2 linked regions of the Nothobranchius furzeri genome follow. The protein of the gene in region 1 interacts with the protein of each later gene in a pairwise test. Links are inferred from orthologs where the notes say so. Each region holds a gene or a part of one and is shown in the gene's direction. Other genes may lie near its edges.

Region 1 (3,306 bases):
CTGTGGTTTTTCTCCTTACCAACTTTTAAAATAGCCCACTAGTGAAGGCCTGGGCAAAGAAGCCTGATGTCTGAGAACCTCAACATATGTACGGCAACCATACTGTATATTTACACACTTTCATAAAGAAACTGCATATCAAGCTTTCATTCAGATGACCTTCAACAGTGCTGCACCCTGCTGAGGGACATCCGAGTAAAACCTTGAGATGGCCATTTTCTGTTCACTAACTTGCTTTAGTAAATCCTTACTTTTGTTAAATAAATCAGTTGTTGAACCCCCACTGCTCTGTTTGGTCTCCTTTCTTATTACAGCCCGCCACTTCCAGTCTGGGTTGTAACAATCTGCAGACAGATTTCTGAGTATCTCCTCCTTTGGTACACAGATCCTTACGGAGCCATGTACTGTGAACAAATAGTTTCTCCATGATATTATCCAGCAAGGTCCCGTTTTTGTCAAAACAAGGGTGAGGTAATGAAAAAATAGAAATATTTCATTAAATTAACATTTAAATTATTTATATGCATCATTAAAAAAAACATGTTTTGAAATATATAAAGTGCACCAAACTTGACTCAGTCCATTCAACAATTCTAAATGGACAATTATGTAACTCATCAATTAATTATTTGAAAGGATAATTTGTCAATTAAATACTGAAAAAAATAAACAATTCATTAATGAGGCAAGAACTTTTCTCTCTCTGTCTCTCTCTCTCTCTCTCTCTCTCTGGAAGCCCCACTCTAAGGGAGTTTGCAGTGTATTAGTGAGTCATATATTGTACAACCACAGTCATAAAGTTTTCAATCAGTAGTTTTATTTCAGTATGTATTTTTCCAGTATCACAAAAAATGTAATTTTCTATGGTTAAAACCATCTAGCTTATGTGCACTTTTTAAAACACTGCCCAGCAAACATTCGGACGTTTAATGACAGTTGAACGGTCACAACTGTAAAATACCTGAAATTAAGAAAAATTAACATGACATCTACTGCATTTTCCTTGCCCGGCCTCGAACCCGGATCCTCCGGGGCGAGAGTCACCCGCTCTCCCAACTGAGCTATGCCAGCAACTGCTTGAATAGCAGACTTTTTTGTATAGATAGGTAGAGGGTAAAGTGCGGGGTACACTAACCAATCAGAGGACAGAGAAGATCTGCCACAGGCCACGCCTCCAGAGTGCCAAAACCCTTACAGCCGAGCGAGCAGGAGTCAGAAACCGAGCGCGCAGAGAGGCTGCCGAGCGCGCACAGAGGCTGCCGCGCGCGCACGTTTTCCTCTGCCGTGTGCTCGTTGACAACGCGCGCACGCAGGTTTGTCACTTGTGCACAACCTTGTGCGCTCACAGACACAGTTTGCTCCCTCTCAGTGCACAAATGACCTCTCGCCATGTATATTTCCGCTCGCGAGTCCCGTTCACACGCGCGCTGTGGACCCAATGCGCGTGCACGGGTTGTGGCACGCTTTAAACGCCATAGAAAACCAGCAGGAGGAGTAAAGGAGAGGAGGAGGAGCTCAGTAAGTTATAAAAACCTGCAGGAGAAGAAAACACCGAGAGGAGACCGAAAACAAGGAGACCAGCCGAAGAAAAGTACCGAGTGAACGTTTCTGAGTCTTTGTGTTGAGAAGCTGAAGCAAACATGAGTCACGTCGACGTGAAAAACCTGAAACCCTCCAACAAGTTCGAGGAAGAACATTATGACGAATATGATTATTACAGTCTGACCGACAAATACGCAGGTGAGCAGCTCTTTCCTTAGCCTGGAGCTAACGGAACTCCAGACCGGTTCAGGGTGGGTAAATGTGTGTGTGTGTGTGTGTTGCAGAAGGCTCGGCCCGAAAAGGCCGAACCAAGAAGGAGGCCAGCGACAACACGAACCGACACAACCCCGCCGGACACGAGCGGAAGATCGCGGAGAAACTCCAGAACAGCGAGAAGAAAGCCAAGGAGTGATGACCAAGGTGGAACAAACACACCTGCAGAAATAAAGTCTCCGTCCAGTTTGGGTTAACGGCCCCGCCGACAGGAACGCTGTTTGTTTAGTTGGATCCAAAAGCATCGAGCATTTATAAACGTTAAATTGTTGGATTTCTCCGGGATTTGGAGCGCTTCCTGCAGAGCTGCTGCCACGACGCAAACAGAATTAACCCTTTAAACCCGAGTTTACCACCTAAAGCAGGTGAAAGCTGGAACTGTTTGGTGGCTTCACTTAACCCAACTACTGCTTAAAACGCCCCATTTCAAGAAATGTTCTCAAATATTTGCATCAAACCAAAATCCTAAAATTGAAAGTTGATAAATAGATTTAAGTTGCACACAACATGTTTGCCTAATTGTTTTAATCCATTTGGGAGGATTGATTTTGACCATCAATCTATCTGGAATGATTGTGTAAAATGATCAGTGTTGTGTGCTTGGTTCTGCTCTGCAGATGTGTTTACAATAACCAGGCTTTGGTCTTTTGTTTTTAACAGGGCGACTCGGACAGCTTTACCTGGAAACTGACCACGGCCTCGACGTGCAGATTGATGGAGCTTGTTGGAGCTCTGCTGGGATTAACCTCGGCGTGGCGAAGAGCCTGCAGATCCAGGCCTCTTCTCTGATGCCTGCAGGGGTTGTACACTGATCTCTGGTGTTGGAGTTTACCTGAGTTCAGAGTCATGGCTCAGGCCACAGAGGTGCACCTTCGGTTGTGACTTTGCAGCTGAAGGATGGTTGTTTTTACAAGGTCGTTTTATAATTAAAATGTTTCAACTAACGTCAGAGTGTTGTTGTTTTTGTTTAGCCTAGAATCTCAGTGAAAGGGGAAAAATGTAAATGAAAACAAGGGCTATCTTTTATTCTTTTGTCATTGTTTCATAAATTGTGCGATGAAAGAAAAGTTATTTTCTCATTCTTGTCCTTTTTGTGTTTTAGTTCAGTGGACTTAAAATTGTTTAGATTATTGATAAAGAACTTGGTGTCCATATAAAAAATACACTTGACAAGTCCCAAAAATTTTAAATGTACCTCAGGGGGAATTTATTCAAGCATTTGACAGAATAAATGCTCTAAAGATGTCTTGACTGAAATATTACAAGTGACAAAAAACTTGAGATAAATCTCAAACATGCAACTGCTTCAGTTAAACAGACATTTTTCATTCTTTAACCAATACGGCTCATTGTTATGGCACGTGTACGTACGTCATAGGTGCTGCTACACGTAATTAAAAAGGAGGGGGGGGGGGGGGAACGGGGCGAAAAGGGTTTCGACAGTTTTCGACCATGGTTGCAGTTCCAGACACTGACCACAGCAGAAATTGG
Region 2 (4,172 bases), on another chromosome or scaffold:
GAATGTCACAAGTCTCGAAATTATAACACCACGCTATCGCTGGCTTCAAGACAGCTATTGCCACTTTGCCCGCAATGTGACGCGTTCTTCAGGGTCAACTCTCGCTCGTGAAATTCTTGTTTGGTTTTAGTGTCAGGAAAGAACCGCTGGTTTGTGTTTGGTAAACTGTGGCAGTGTAAGTACTAAGTGACTATGACGATTTGATGTTGTAACTTTGGCTGTCACTTTCAACCCCAGATGACGAGATGAATCCATTAACGAATGCAAAACTGACTTTTTAACTAGCCAGTTACTTAGCCCACCACAGGTCACTTTTGCATGGACTGTTGCGTCATCCTTTTTTAAGTCTTTCTCCATGTATATGCCTTTATTTTCAGCTGCAGTGAGAAGGAATCCGGTCTGTGTGGCATCTACGGAGGCAGAAATTATAAATACAATTAAAAAATGGTTCTACTGGGCTGGGGATAGGGACGCAAAAGGAGATTGCCCGCCCAACCAACCCCTCAACCAGCCCAGGACTCAGTCCAGGACTGACTTTTAAAAAAACAAATAAATAAAATATTCAAATTTTACTCTTGTTTGGTTTTATGTTTATGCACCTTGTACACACAGTAACCTAGGCTATTTCACAAGGCTATTTAACTAAGGCACAAAATCTGAATCTTCTGTACAAGGACATTTTATAGTCTATTAAAATGTTGAATTAAATTTAGCATAAGGTTCAGAATAAAATACAATCTTTTGGTAAACGTTTGGCTAATTATGGATAAGTTATAGTTCATATTTGGCTTTATTGTGGGATTTTGGGATAGTTATGGCTATGCTTTGGAAAGCCACATTTTATTTTGGGTAATCTTTTGGCAAACTTATGGTTACACTTTGATATCCTTTGGCCATTTTGTGGTGTTTTGGGGTTCTTTTGGTATAGTTATGGTTGTGCTTTGGAATTCCACAATTTATTTTGGAAGAATTCTGGCAACCTTTTGACAATCTATAATTCTATTTTGGCATGCCTTATTTGGGCCATATTTGGCCCATCATTCCACCCAAAAGAGTACCAAGACTGGCTTGCCAAACTAGTGCCAAAAATGATTCTGGCAACCTTTTGACAATCCATAATTATATTTTGGTGTGCCTAATTTGGGCCATATTTGGCCCATCATTCCATCCAAAAGAGTACCAAGACTGGCTTGCCAAACTAGGGCCAAAAAGAATTTGCTATCTGGGACTCCATACCAGTTGAGGGCGGTATTGCACTAAGCCGTTGTTTTTTAACCGTCAATAAAAACAACGAAGAAGAAAAAGAACAGGATTCGGCGCGCGAAAGCTCTAGCAGGAAGTGAGAGGAGCTGGAGGCATACGGCGGTCTGTTTGGTATTTGAATCTCTCAAACAACTTCCATAATCTTTAAACATCTACTTTAATATGGCAGACCCCAAGGTGAGGACACACTTTCTTTGTTAATCTACACATCCAGTTTCCTTTAAAATTAGAATTTCATGACGGAAATTGTATTTAGTGTCTGAAAATTCGCAAAATTTAGGAAAGGAAGCCAAGAGACAGATATGCGGACAATGAAGTTGCTCTCCGTGATGCTAGAAAAGCGTTTTGGGGTGTTTTCGCCCACTGTCATTCACGCCAGTTACATAAAAACATCGCTGAAACTAGTGTGTTGTACATTTGCTTTGAAATTTGACATAATATGTCGCTGTAGTGTTGAGGTTTACGAGCTCCGAGAAGTACACTGAAGTATCCAGCGAGTCAGCATGTTAGCCACATTACAATGCTCGGTAGCAACGTTAGACGATTAACATCAAACAATTAATAATTTATTGTTGTCTTTACGAAGTTGTATTAATCTACTCATCAGCTGGAAGCAGATAACGCGGTTAGCTGCGGTTTTTGCCTTTGTCTGCCTACTACAACAGTTGCTAATGCTAGCATTCATGCTAGGGCGAAGGGGAGAGCAACCCCGTGTTGTTTTATTAACAACAATGTTGTAATGAAGTCTGAGTTATCCCCAGACTAATGCAGAACTTCCAGATTAGCGTGTGTTTTAGTTGTTTTCGTTAGACCGAGTTAACAGCCCAACCATGATTAGCCGCGGTCTAGCGTCAGCCTTACAGGCCTCTAACTAGCCGGGCAACGTAGTTATCGGTTAATTAAACAACTCTAGTCTGACTGAGTTAATTTCATTTTAGAATTATAGCTGCATACTTAAGATATATAAACGATAATTGAGATCAGTGAATAAACACGTTTTTGTAAACCATCAAACCTGGAAAATGGCCCTCTGAAAGTTTTAGATGGGATTTTTTTCAATTTGTAGCTTCATGGCTTTTTCATGTCACATAAATTGTTGTCTTTAGCCATCCTTTAAAACTGACTGTACATCTTCCTGAATTTTTAAGCACTTTAATGGAGGAAAACGTGTATAATAATGATGAAAAGCTGCGGTTTATCAAAGCTCTTGTATTCCTTTACTGAAACATTTATTGTTTGTTGATGCCTTCACTTTGCTCCTGTAAATTCAAGAACCGCACCGACAAACATAAATGCTGTGCTACGTTTTCTAAACCCACTTCTTTTCTCTTAGGATCAGGAAGACCACGAGCCCACTGCAGACAATACAGAGGACTCCAATCACGACCCACAATTTGAGCCCATCGTGTCTCTCCCAGAGCAGGATGTTAAAACATTAGAAGAAGACGAAGAGGAGCTCTTTAAAATGTAAGATGCTTCATTTGTCGCATTTGTTTTATTTTCTTTACGGGGTTACAAATTTGATTCTTGACGTGAACATTAGCCATTTTCTGCCCAAATATTTGCTGTTGATTAAAATTTAAAAGGAAAAAAGCTGGTTATTGGGGAGATTCTACAAGCAATCTTTTATTTTAAATGCTCATGTTTATCGTTAGTATAAAAGTTAGTTTAATGAAGGACTTTCCTGTTTTCCTAGGCGAGCTAAACTTTATCGCTTTGCCTCTGAGAACGATCCACCCGAATGGAAGGAGAGAGGAACTGGTGATGTCAAGCTGCTGAAACACAAAGAGAAGGGTACAATTCGTCTCTTGATGAGGAGAGACCGAACCCTGAAGATTTGTGCCAATCATCATAGTGAGTCATTAAGTCAAACCACAATTCAAGACCTAGCTGGACTTGTTGGCGTGTGTACATTTAAATTAAAAGTGAACCCTTATGTATTCTGGATTCTTTAGCATCCTGAGTAAACAGGAGAAACACTTGAGAAAACAGGTCATGCTCATCTCTATCGTGACTAACCAGTACACCTGTCTGATCTGCAACTGAAGCTGGAAAATTGAGAATGATTTTGCAAAAGAGCTTCCGTAATTTCTCAAAATGTCTGCAGTATTTGGATTTATAAAGTAACTTGTGGTCTCTTTTTATAGCGGTGTTAATGACCCTTGCACCCTCTTGTGAATGACAGTTTTTCCCGTGATGGAGTTGAAGCCAAACGCTGGCAGTGACAGAGCATGGGTCTGGAACACATTAGCAGATTACGCTGATGAGTCCCCCAAACAGGAACTCCTGGCAATACGCTTTTTAAATGCAGAAAGTACGTACTTTAATCCAGGTGTTGTACTAAGAGCTGCTCATACGTGCTTACTTTTGCTCACACATGATCATGTCTGTCCACAGACGCTCAGAAGTTCAAGGTGAAGTTTGATGAATGCAAGGAGGAAGTGAGAAAAGTTCTAGAGAAATCAGGTGAGTAAAGCGTAAACCTCAGTTGTGAATGGATTGAGGTAAAGATGAACTCCAGTCTTTTTAATCATTTAAAGGCTGCAGACACACTCTGTTCTTTGCTGTTCACTCCAGCTTGGGACTTTTTCTGTCTGCTACATGAACACACAGGATGTACCAGTGCTAGCTTTACTACAGGGCTGGCGTCAGTATGTTCTGGGACACACACACACACACAGAGAGTTATCAAGTGGTGTAAATATAAAGCTTTGTGAAGAAAAGCTAGCTTGTTAAATTATTCATAGCTTTTGATGCCATGGCTTGTTTTATTGCTTCAACACAGGGGAAGACCTCGACAATGAGAACCAGGTGGTTGAGAAGCTGGGGGGGTTATCCGTTAAAGACAAGGTGTCTGCAGAAAAGGAGGACAAAAAGGAAAGTGAGAAGAAAAAAGATGAGAAAAAGGA

The links.
Region 2: the proteins of nupr1b (region 1) and ranbp1 interact in a two-hybrid assay, tested with the Homo sapiens proteins (2 studies listed by BioGRID and IntAct). The link is inferred for Nothobranchius furzeri from reciprocal best matches to the Homo sapiens genes NUPR1 and RANBP1.

The regions. Positions count from the first base shown.
Region 1 is NC_091745.1:29,321,960-29,325,265, reverse strand, and holds nupr1b (nuclear protein 1b), read left to right. Parts: upstream 1-1,442; 5' UTR 1,443-1,640; coding exon 1,641-1,740; intron 1,741-1,826; coding exon 1,827-1,954; 3' UTR 1,955-1,962; intron 1,963-2,475; 3' UTR 2,476-2,759; downstream 2,760-3,306. UniProt on the Homo sapiens protein: Transcription regulator that converts stress signals into a program of gene expression that empowers cells with resistance to the stress induced by a change in their microenvironment.
Region 2 is NC_091757.1:31,791,520-31,795,691, forward strand, and holds the start of ranbp1 (ran-specific GTPase-activating protein), read left to right. Parts: upstream 1-1,294; 5' UTR 1,295-1,425; coding exon 1,426-1,440; intron 1,441-2,596; coding exon 2,597-2,730; intron 2,731-2,959; coding exon 2,960-3,117; intron 3,118-3,448; coding exon 3,449-3,577; intron 3,578-3,660; coding exon 3,661-3,729; intron 3,730-3,806; exon of another isoform or gene 3,807-3,934; intron 3,935-4,048; coding exon 4,049-4,172. UniProt on the Homo sapiens protein: Plays a role in RAN-dependent nucleocytoplasmic transport. Alleviates the TNPO1-dependent inhibition of RAN GTPase activity and mediates the dissociation of RAN from proteins involved in transport into the nucleus.